Linked DNA regions of Saccharomyces cerevisiae S288C. The gene in region 1 interacts genetically with each later gene. Each region holds a gene or a part of one and is shown on either strand. Other genes may lie near its edges.

Region 1 (5,446 bases):
ACCATTGCAACGGGCCAAAATCCTACCGGGATGTCTGTCCCCCAGTGGAAAAGAGAGAAAATTTACCAGTTGGCCCAAAGACACGATTTCCTCATTGTTGAAGATGATCCCTACGGTTATCTGTACTTTCCTTCCTATAATCCGCAAGAGCCATTAGAAAACCCTTACCATTCTAGCGACCTGACTACTGAACGGTATTTGAATGATTTTTTAATGAAATCATTCTTGACTTTGGATACAGATGCCCGTGTCATCCGTTTGGAGACTTTTTCTAAAATTTTTGCTCCTGGATTAAGGTTATCCTTCATCGTTGCTAATAAATTCCTTTTGCAAAAAATCTTGGATTTGGCCGACATTACTACAAGGGCCCCCAGTGGTACCTCACAAGCTATTGTTTATTCTACAATAAAGGCAATGGCTGAGTCCAACTTATCGTCCTCTCTTTCTATGAAAGAAGCAATGTTTGAGGGTTGGATAAGATGGATAATGCAGATTGCTTCTAAATACAATCATAGGAAAAATCTTACTTTGAAAGCCTTATACGAAACAGAATCTTACCAAGCTGGTCAGTTTACCGTTATGGAACCCTCCGCGGGTATGTTCATCATTATTAAAATCAATTGGGGGAATTTCGATAGACCTGACGATTTGCCGCAACAGATGGATATTTTAGATAAGTTCTTGCTGAAGAATGGTGTTAAAGTAGTGCTTGGTTATAAAATGGCTGTTTGCCCAAATTATTCAAAGCAGAATTCAGATTTTCTAAGACTCACCATCGCCTATGCAAGGGATGATGATCAGTTGATTGAAGCTTCCAAAAGAATCGGTAGTGGCATAAAAGAATTTTTTGACAACTATAAAAGTTGAACAGTGAAGATTAAACCTATGTGTTATTTGCATATCATATATAAATTGTAGTTTTTTGTATAAAAGTTGGGAAAAAGTTATAGTCGCGTATATTTTAAATTACTCTAAGCAACTAAATGGTCACGGTTTAGAGCATGAACTTCTGAATCCTTTTCCAAATTGCATTTAGCACCGTACTCGCTTTCAATATAGCTCAAACGTTCTTTCAGACCGTCCAAAATTTGGTCGCTATCAGGTAAGTCCACTGTAAAGCCCTTTATCAAGCTATATTCGTGTGTTATTTTACCCCCTATGTCCACCACATATTTTTTGACATCTTCAATAATGCTATTCTGGTCCGTAGCCATATTATCCGTCTTGGGGAAAGTTACGATGTATGATGATAAGGAAGATGCCTGTGCCATGGAGAATATGCTAATGAAAATCAAAACTAAGTAACTGGCCTTCATATATATGCTATAGTCTGTTACACAATAGATTTAAATGTTGTAATATAACGAGGAAACGCAACTTATCCATTTGTTCTCTCCATCGCATCGCTTTTTCTTAAATACTTTTGCCCCCCACCCCTTTATCCACTTGCGTTTTCCTCTTTTCTTCGCCTCTTTTTGGTAGCGCCGACCGATCTAATCGGAATAATCAAATTTAATAGGAACTGAATATTAGAAATTATTGAAGTCAATATACTGTAAAAACTATAAATCCTGTAACGAACATAAAAAAAGAAAACATAAAGGAAGCGCGTGATGTATCAGTAACATCACATAGTACAATAAAAAAGAAAGAGAACACTGATAATAACTGTACTGAAGACAAACAATTAGGAAAGTAACGACGATCTTTCTTTCGTCCAGTCATCATAACAATATGTGTTTTTGTTTTTGTTTTTGTTTTTGTTTTTGTTTTTGTTTTTGTTTTTATTTTATTTATTTTTTGCTTATTTTCGTAGTACACAACACATAATCATCTTATTGTTGACTAACAGGGAAGATTTGTTGTAACTCGCTACTACTTGTGACTTGATTATGGATAGCAATAGACAACAAAGTTTGCGCTTGGATTGGTGACAAGTACCCAGCAGAAATTGCACCTTGTGGAATACTTGTGTTACTTATGAACCCAATTCCTGAACCATCATGACCACTGGATCCATCACTTGCATAAACGACAGGGAAGTCGACCGATGTCCATGATGCCACGGTACTGTTGTGACTTGTACCAGAGCTGACAACAACCAAACCTTGGATACTAGAACTTAGTGATTGAATTAAGCTTTGAGAATATCCTTCTTCGTATATAATTGGAACCAATGGACTGGAGGATGATGAGGATGTATTGGTCCCGGAGGAGGCATTAGAAGATATTTGTGCGCTCGTAAAATTCGAGTATTGAGTTCTGATTGTGGAGTTGCTGGCAATCAGAGTTGGCTCACAGGCATCAAAGAACCATTGAACATTCTTCTGACCAGACAAAACGCCCACAGGAACAGTGTAAGGAGGGAAAACACCAGAATACACAACTTTATCTCTACCGGCAACCAAAGTGCCTCTACCTTCCGCGTCCGAACTACTCAATATTGGTACACCCCATAAGAAATTCTCAGTAATGACAATGGTCTTTGATGTATTAAAAACGATTGAGCAGAAGAAACTCAAAGTTTCAATGGAACGCCAGTTTGTGACGATTATAATGCCGGAAGACGATTCGCTTTGTAAAGTCTGATTAACTTGAGTAGCAATTTGGTAAAGTTGAGTGATGTTTAAGGTGGAAGTAGAGTTGAATAGCGTTGTGGTAGTAACGTTTGACTGGCTACCAGATACAGCAGGTCCACCCGTGATGATCACGGGGACCGTACCGCCGCCAGAAGTAACGTTCTGCCTCTTGTAAAGTGGTGTTGCAGAAGCTGTTAAAGTTGCAAGAAAAAATGCTAGCACTGATGTGAATTTCATAATAGCTGATTGGGTTCTTAGATGTGAAAACTGATCGAAATCAAATACTAGAGCATGATTGATAGGAACAAGAGAAACCAAAAGTGTTTTTAGCTTTCCTCCCAATTTTTATAGTATTCTAATGAGTAACGTCTTAGGGGAATTTTCAACAAGGCATTTCTAAAAGGGGATGCTAGTTGCACATTCTGAGAGAATCATTTGTACACGTTTTTCCCTATTTTCTGCTCATAAACCGAGGATCATCAGCGTTAAATGTAATTGCTAAGCCAAGAACTTTTGCTACTCTAACATTACATATTTGAAGGGTACAGTGAGATTCCCCAACAGGAATTCGCTTCTGTACATCAGCCGGTATTCGCTGAGAACTACTGTAGCCCTTAACTGTTGAATGATCTTTTTCTGGTAGATCATCGGCTTCTTTTGACGCAGGAAAAGGCCCGTGTCACTTCGGCTTAGCTTCTTTCGGCGATTTTCAAGGGAAGCGTCTGCACCTTAACGCAGACAAATGACGCATGATATGCACCCTTAAGGCGGACTTGATCTTCAGATCCCTCAAATGGTAAATGTGCCATAAGGTGGCCAAATTCCAACTAAAAATGATAAATAGGTAATGAATTGTTCACTATGCAGCGTTGCCACCGTTACGCCTCCCCCTTATTTTTCATTTCCGTTTCCATCCAGTTTTTCAGCCTCCTTGAACCCTACCATTAGTAATGGAAGCAATAATCTCATAGCAGCAATTGAAAAAAAAAAAGCATATTCGCTCACATTAAAATAATGAGATAACATGAGATGGCTTGGAATTATAAGCGTTCGCTGACCTGAAAAAGGCGCGGGGCTAATGGACCCATTCGTTAAAATGACCTTAAGCATCCACACATGCAGAATAAAAGAACTTAACCTATTCCTTAGGAAAGTTTATGTATTTGCTGGTACCCTCTTCCTTCTTTGGCCTCTTTTCTGACGTGAATGTCACATGTTAACATTTTTGTCAAATAGCGTCCATCTATTTGAACAAATGCTATCATTTTTGGGGATACAAATTCTATAAGAGGTTCCTGTTTGCAGCATCTAAAAACAGAGCGTGAAACGCATGCAGAAGTGACATATAATCCTTTGTTTAAGCGACAATTAAAAATAATGATCGCTCTCTTTTCCTTTTCAGACTTGCTCATTAAATTTGACAAGATCCGCGGATTAGAGAAGTCTGCGCTTCGCATTTAATGAAAAGATCTCCGATAAGTATATAAGTCCCTTTTTTCTCGAATTATATAAGTCACTTTCTATATGTCAGTGATTATCTCTACACTAGTCTTGCTGTATTCTTAGCAAATTTTTCTCGTATTTTAAAACCATAATACAAGGAGAATCCATGATGTCTTGTCTGGTACCAACACGTTTTACTTTGACCCTTAACACCGCGTGTCTTTTGACGAGCACCTGGGGGTTTGTTAGGGCCACATCTGTAGTCTTACCTCCAAGTTTAAGTAAAGCAGGCCATAAACAGTTTCTAACCATTATATCTATTATTGCAACAATCATTAATAACGCGGTTAACATTTCTAATTATTATATCCAAAGAAACAATAAGATGAATCTAGAAACCAAGAAAAAATCAGACTTTATTAGTAGACATGTCACTTTGCCAGTTTCTTTAGTATTAGAATCTATTGTTGCTACCGTTTATTGGCCGCTTAGATTGTTTTTTGTCAACTTAATAATGCATGGAGTTGAATCTACTGCAAAGACACCTTTTCCTATGACAGTGGATATGGCAATCCACTTATATCCTATTTTATATTTACTAGCCGATCACTACTTATCGGGATCTGGCACGAAATTCAAATTATCGAATAAGCATGCATGGCTCATTGTAACCAGTTTAGCATTTTCATATTTTCAATATTTAGCATTCCTGATAGATGCGGGGCAAGGCCAAGCCTATCCATACCCGTTTCTAGACGTGAACGAGCCGTACAAGTCGATTATATTTGTTGTTGTTGCTACTATTACGTGGGCTTATTATGTATTTTATCAAAAGTTTCCGCCAAAATACATCAAGAAGTCGGCAAAGAAAGGTGATAAGAATTAGCATTACTACTAGTATACTACTATTTAAGCTCTTTGTATGTAAAGTGAGCAAATCTCAAATTTTGCTACTTAATTCTTATTTTCGTGCTAGCCCTACAACGGAACCCAAAAAATCAATCACCAGGGTAAGCGGGAAAAAAAAAAAGTGTAGGAACCGCACTATAAAAAGTCGAAGGTTTGTATTAATTTTCCACACCTCTTTAGTTTTGTTATAATCAAATTCCTTTTGGTTTTTGTTTTAAAAAGGCCAACATCATAATTATATCGCGAATGTACTACTAGTATATGCAGTTTTCTTAAAATTGCAGGGAATGACTAAAAGCCCACGTTTTTCCCACTTTTAGTAGTACTGAAGCGTAGATAGATTGAACGTTGCTGGGCGCCTGGTGTTGATCATTTCTGAAATGAGATATTGGGAATCAGCTGTATCTACATTTTATTTATACATATTTATTTTTACTGGTTCTTAGTAACGTACTTTAGTAGCAATGCTGTGTTTTAGTGCGAACGCCTACGTGTCTTGTTAACTTATCATGGTT
Region 2 (6,647 bases), on another chromosome or scaffold:
CATTTCTTTGGGCCAGACAACGTTAGCTTATTTTGACGTTCGCGACAAAGATGCCAAACCGAACGTAGCTGGAAACGAGGATGGTAAAATTTTGATCAGCGATGATCAGGAGGACGAAGTTCTTTGTGGTTGTTTCGTCGATCCCGAAGTAGCAGATACCCTTTTGTGTGGGATGGGCGAGGGTATTGTTACCGTCTGGAAACCGAATAAGAATGATTTGGAAGATCAAATGAGCCGTATTAAAATTAGCAAAGATGAAAGTATCGATTGCATTGTTCCTACTTTACAAGATGATAACTGTGTATGGTGTGGTTGTTCCAATGGTAACATTTATAAAGTAAATGCCAAATTGGGAAAAGTCGTCGAGATAAGAAACCACAGTGAATTGGATGAAGTCAGTTTTGTTGATCTAGATTTTGAATACCGTGTTGTTTCTGGTGGTTTGGAAAACATCAAGATATGGGAATTATCGAGTGATGATGTAGAGGAAAATGCATCGGTAGAGTCCGATAGCGACGAACCCCTCTCCCACTCTGATGAGGATCTAAGTGATGACACTAGTTCTGATGATGAAACGACGCTTGTCGGGCTCTCAAAGGAAGAGCTATTAGACGAATTAGATAAGGACCTCAAGGAAGATCATCAAGAGGAAAAAGAATCCAACTCAAAATCTGTCAAAAAAAGAAAAATAATGAAGGAGAACAACAAAAAAAAGGACCTGTATGAGCATGGGATCAAGAAGTTTGATGATTTATAGATTATTTCTTTTTTACTAAGAAAAACATATATCATTTATATTCAGAAATAAATAGGATTATTAACCTAGTGCTCCCAAAAAAAATAAGTTGAACTGTCTCTTTCGAGAAAAAGAAAGAGAAAAGAAATGGTCTCTAGCGGGATCGAACCGCTGATCCCCGCGTTATTAGCACGGTGCCTTAACCAACTGGGCCAAGAGACCATTATATTGTTAAAGATGTTGTATCTCAAAATGGGATACGTCAGTATGACAATACTTCATCCTAAACGTTCATAAAACACATATGAAACAACTTTATAACAAAACGAACAACATGAGGTAAAACCCGGCCTCCCCTAGCTGAACAACTCAAACGTATAAATGCCTGAACAATTAGTTTAGATCCGAGTTTCCGCGCTTCCACCATTTAGTATGATTCATATTTTATATAATATATAGGATAAGTAACATCCCGTGAATCAAGCTGATAAACAGTTTTGACAACTGGTTACTTCCCTAAGACTGTTTATATTAGGATTGTCAAGACACTCCGGTATTACTCGAGCCCGTAATACAACAGTGAGCTATTAAAAGAGCTTAAGTATTACAGAGTAATATCAATCATCAATCTTGGATCTAAAGTAATCGTCGAGACATTTATACACTTAAGTGATTCCTCTTTACAAGCGGAGCTTACTCTATATATTCATTCTTGTCAGTTTCATAACAGTTGTTTCATACGATTTCCACATGTGTCTCATATATATTTTATGTTTAGGTTAATAACTTTGGTAATGCTAAATTATCTTAATTTGACGTACACAAATTCTTCCTACTGTTATATATGTTCGAATTATCTTTTAAATTGTTGCTAAAAAAGTTAGAGTTATCACCAAATCAGTTGAGCAGATCACCATTATTCTTATGTAAATACTTGTTAAAAGAAGTAGCTTTCGCAAATACACCAATGCATTCGTTGATAATTTACGCAGTAACCTCTTACAGAACGCCTACATACAACTTAAACTCGTAATGTTCAGGCTTATAATGTCAGTATGCATTGTTACGCTTAGTATAGTTATTAAACTACGGACCAAATTATACTTTAAGCAGTAGTTAAAGAAAGAGATTAAATAAAGAATGATTTACAATCTAGTCGCAAAAACAAGTACAGTGCTGACGTCCCATCTTTTAATGCCTACTCTTTTGATGTTCACTTACATGTTACAATGAAGCCAAATCACAAACATTCAAATATATTCCATGGCCTCTTAGTTTGGCAACCCAAGACTCGGCATACCATATTGGTAACGCTGTATTGGAGAGATATATTCTAAAATATTGATAATTAATGGCAAAAAGGCAGTATTAATGAAGGTTGAATATGGATCTTAATATAATCGTATAAGAGGGGCATAAAATATACGCCGATTGGTTCAACATTAATTATGATCAATATAACAATGCGTCTGGTAATTACCATAACACTTAATGTAGCAACTCGTATAACAAACGTATCATGCTCAATTAATATAACCTTATCTCTGCTTCAGCACTGTCTGAGCTACTCTTTTAACGTTTCCTTTTGCAATAGGTACCTTCACACTAAAACATATACAATGGGTGCATTTAAATTGTTACCATAGCAACTCATATTACGATTCATTACCACTCATTTCAACACAACAACCTCTTGCTATCAAACTTACTTTTGCTTTTATTGCAGATATCTCGTTATTTCTGCAAAAACAGCATTCATTGGTAATGACAAGGTCAATTTTGGCTTTTATACATTTCACATGTACAGGATAGTGGAACACATTCCAAGGAGGTGAAGAACGTCCCCTTTGATACTTCCATACAAGGACGATTAAAAATACATAAGAGAACAGATCTGCAAAAATGCGTTTTACTTCCTTTACAATCTCAATGCCGATAAATAAGCGCAATGAAGATTACTCAGCAACTGTATGTTGGCTCATGCGAAATATGAATGTTTCATTCGAGATTACTTATCTTGTTTAACGCTTGAACAGCGTACTGTAACTTCTTGCTACAGAATGATGGACCCCATTATAATACTACCGCCTTGCGAATGCGCAATTTATTATGATCATGAACCCTGAGAAATCAAATGAATATTTAAAGTGTATGCAAAATGGACAAGAACATTATGGTAACATTGTCTACGACAGAATTTATTTTCTGACTTTAATAGTGACGGTTATACGAAATTAATGATTCTTCGAGAGGCAACTCACTTTACTGCAAATGGACCTGCAGAGTTTGCATCTAGAGGACAATATGCTGCACAAAAACGACCAATATTTACCTTCAACGAAAACAACCTTAAGAAACCCCTTCAACAACAACGCAGCTATCGTATCGTAGTGGTCTCCATAATGCGTGCACCTCCTTTAGCACTTATCGAGTAATAACATACGCTAGATAAGTAAAGTGTCCAGGATATTATAATTATATGATATTTCGGGAATGGTTTCTATATCTAGTTTTTTAACTTAGCCTAGACATTCGCCTCGTATTATAAAATACATGAAAGTGACTTGACTGCTTCATGAGAGTTATACTAAGAGCATTCATAACTAGAAGACACATTTTAGTTTTTATTACTGAGTAAGGGTTTAGTTTGTACATACAAGGCAACATGAAATTCAAGGTGCTGATGTTCAGTAAAGCCGCCTAGCTTTACGTGCCGAAATATTGATAATATGTCTCAGCCACTTCCTGGCTTAACTATTTAAATGATATTTCTGCATCCATCGGTATGGCGCACAATAAACGGTATCTGAGAATATCGAAAAGAACACCACAATACTACTGAGTGCAAACACAGAAGAGCGTAGGTGATTCAACTAATTGAGTTAGAAACTGCATCAACGCTGCATAATAAAGATGCTGCTGTTCAGGATCATTTTTTTTAAAGACTGAAAAAAATTGCTTATCGCTTTGCACGCGACTCTTTTTTCTATTATTTGAAAAATAGCTTAAGGGAAAAGAAAAGAATAGGTAGCTTTCAAAGCAAGAACCTCTACGATAAAGGACAAAGCTAGAAGCAAACACCGCAAAAAAAATGAGACCCGTTGTATCCACTGGTAAGGCATGGTGTTGTACCGTCCTATCGGCATTTGGTGTAGTAATTCTTTCCGTCATTGCTCATCTCTTCAACACAAACCATGAATCCTTTGTAGGATCAATAAACGATCCTGAAGATGGACCTGCGTATGTTATATTTTCTTATTTATTTCGCCGTTACCCATTTACCATCTCTTATATCTCTCCTCCTTACTAACAATTATATTTTAACCCTATTGTTTATAGTGTTGCACATACTGTTTATTTGGCTGCCTTGGTATACCTCGTGTTTTTCGTATTCTGTGGGTTCCAAGTTTACCTAGCCAGAAGAAAACCTTCGATCGAGTTGCGTTAGTCTTGAAGCCAATAGGATAATACCAAATGCATTAATATCGTCCAACTGTTCTATATACTTATCGTAACCTCGTTCCATGTGACATTCTTTTTTATTACACTTTTCGACAATAGCGAATTGAGTGAAATATTATGAAAGAATATATAGTATAAATATATACATTTATATATGAATTCTAATCAATAAAAGTCACAGTAACCAGCTTTTCCTAGCTTTTCGAAGTTTCGGAAGTATGACAAAATATGAGCGTGACCCTGAATTGGTGAACTTTCTATCGAAAGTGGAGGATTTGAACTCTAAGAGATACAGTAATATTCCTAGTTCAAAACCAGCGGGGGAAGCGCTTTCACCAGTTAGAAGTCACAACTCTGGGGAATACAGAAGGGCTGATATGATGACAGGGAAAAATGTGGAAGGTTGCGACAATTTGGCCTACCGATCTGCGTACAATTATGAAATGACGTTTTCTCCAAAGAAGACTCATTACTCATTAAGTGAGCTGAATCTCGAACGAATAACGCCAAGGCCGGATTTGGAGGGAAGTGCCTCTCAAAAAGAAAAAAAATTTTTAATTTCTGAAGAAGATTATTTATTATTGCAGAAATTGAAAGCCTCTCAAACATATAATGATTCCAATGCTGACAAAAATTTGCCTTCCTTTGAAAAAGGTCCTCGTATGCCCAGTCGGGGTCGACCCAGACCGAGAGAGAAGGAAATAATCACCATCCAATATGATTTTGAATTACCAGGAAGAGCCGATATACCCTCCTCCTCCTCTTCTTCATCACCACCGCCTTTGCCCACAAGGCGTGATCATATCAAAATCACAGATGGGAATGAAGAGAAACCGCTTCTTCCAACAAGGCCTAACAAAGCAGAAGTTACAGAAAGTCCGTCATCAAGGTCAATAAAACCGGATGCTGTGGTACCTGAGCGCGTTAAGCCTGCTCCACCTGTCTCACGCTCTACAAAACCGGCGAGCTTTTTAAGTTCTTTGGAAGATAACAAATTGACAAAGGCGAAGAGTTATAATTCGGAAATGGAAACTCCCAAAACAACTGTAAAAAGTTCTCATATCGATTACTTGGATTCCATACAACTAAAACCAACCACCTTATCTCCTACAATGAAAAATAAACCTAAACCAACCCCTCCTTCTCCACCTGCGAAAAGAATTCCAAGATCTGAAAGTTTTATCAAGTCTATGCTAAACTCGAATCTCACGACAACTTCCAAGCCTTCTTTGCCTGAAAAACCTCAAAAGCTACGGAATGCAAATTTGGCCGCCCATAAGACCAAACCAAGCATACCGCCAAAGAAAGTGGAGTTGAATATAGTATTACCTGAGCTACGTCCCGTAGAAACTTCTCCAACAAAGCAGAACTTCGAAAACTCAATCGATTTGCCCAAGTTACGATCCAGCAACCGTAACATTAAAAAAGAAGAGGAGGACAGTATTCCAGAAGCAATAAAAGGTATACAAAATCTGAAGAAAACCAAACAGCAGAAGCCTGCAATCCCTCAGAAAAAATCATTTCTAACAAATAATTCGAAAAATACTACACTCAAAAATGGTGATGATATTAACAAGTTAAATGACGAAATTGAAGCTCTATCATTGCGGAATAACCTGAAGAAACGGCCACCAACGGCGCCACAACGTAAAATTTCTTTGCCAGAGGCATTGCGAAAAGTCGAATTGATGAAAAAATCTAAAACCGAGCCTGTTTTAGAGTCCTCAAACGAACTGAGCATAAACGCAAAATTAGACGCAATAATTGCCTCTAGAAACTTAAGAGCATCTAATACTCTACCAGAACTTAGCGGTGTTAACACTAATATTGCAACTTCTGACAAGTATACTACTTCTAGAGATGAAACAGTGAAGGAAACTAAACCATTAGTTCACCCGAATAAAAATAGGACTCGTGGTCCCAGAAGAAAACTTCCAACACGCGTGTAACTACAGAGTAGACCTCCGTATTTTACACATGTATGTACGTACATATGATGTAACAATAATATGATAATTTAATGGGATACATGTATTATCGTCACTTCCCACGTTTGCGCTTTGACATTTGCTCCCCTTATGAACCTGAAGGAATATAAATCATCGATCTTTTTGCTACACTTTTCCTCCCTTATTAGAAAATAGCAGTAAAATTACAGGCTATTCAAACCCTGAAACATCTCAATTATGGCTTGGACTAGTACATTACCAGCGCATCTACTGAACCTGATCAAAAACTCCAAATATGTTCACGTGGCCACCTGTTCTAAAGACTGCATCCCTTCAGTGGCATTGATGAACTATATCTATGTGCCAGGTGAAAAACTGTTCGGTCAAACAGATAATAAGAATGACTACATTATATTTGTTTCTCCTCAGGACACACAAAAGTTTTACAACATCAAGGAGAACCCTAAGGTCGCCCTGTTGTTTCACGATTGGATCATCGC

The links. Genes that interact genetically often act in the same process or in processes that back each other up.
Region 2: mutations in YHR140W (region 1) and BSP1 together harm fitness more than expected from each alone (negative genetic interaction), as found in Saccharomyces cerevisiae (2 studies listed by BioGRID).

Annotation. Positions count from the first base shown.
Region 1 is NC_001140.6:376,384-381,829, forward strand, and holds YHR140W (uncharacterized protein), read left to right. Parts: upstream 1-4,188; coding exon 4,189-4,908; downstream 4,909-5,446. Other genes in the region: ARO9 (aromatic-amino-acid:2-oxoglutarate transaminase), read left to right, coding at 1-867; YHR138C (uncharacterized protein), read right to left, coding at 972-1,316; SPS100 (Sps100p), read right to left, coding at 1,836-2,816; YHR139C-A (uncharacterized protein), read right to left, coding at 3,725-4,036.
Region 2 is NC_001148.4:879,412-886,058, forward strand, and holds BSP1 (Bsp1p), read left to right. Parts: upstream 1-4,416; coding exon 4,417-6,147; downstream 6,148-6,647. Other genes in the region: JIP5 (Jip5p), read left to right, coding at 1-757; YPR170W-B (uncharacterized protein), read left to right, coding at 3,828-3,976, 4,076-4,184; YPR172W (pyridoxal 5'-phosphate synthase), read left to right, coding at 6,385-6,647. UniProt on the Saccharomyces cerevisiae protein: Recruits the capping protein complex to actin patches and the actomyosin contractile ring, and/or stabilizes their interaction. May serve as an adapter to link INP52 and INP53 to the cortical actin cytoskeleton. Binds F-actin.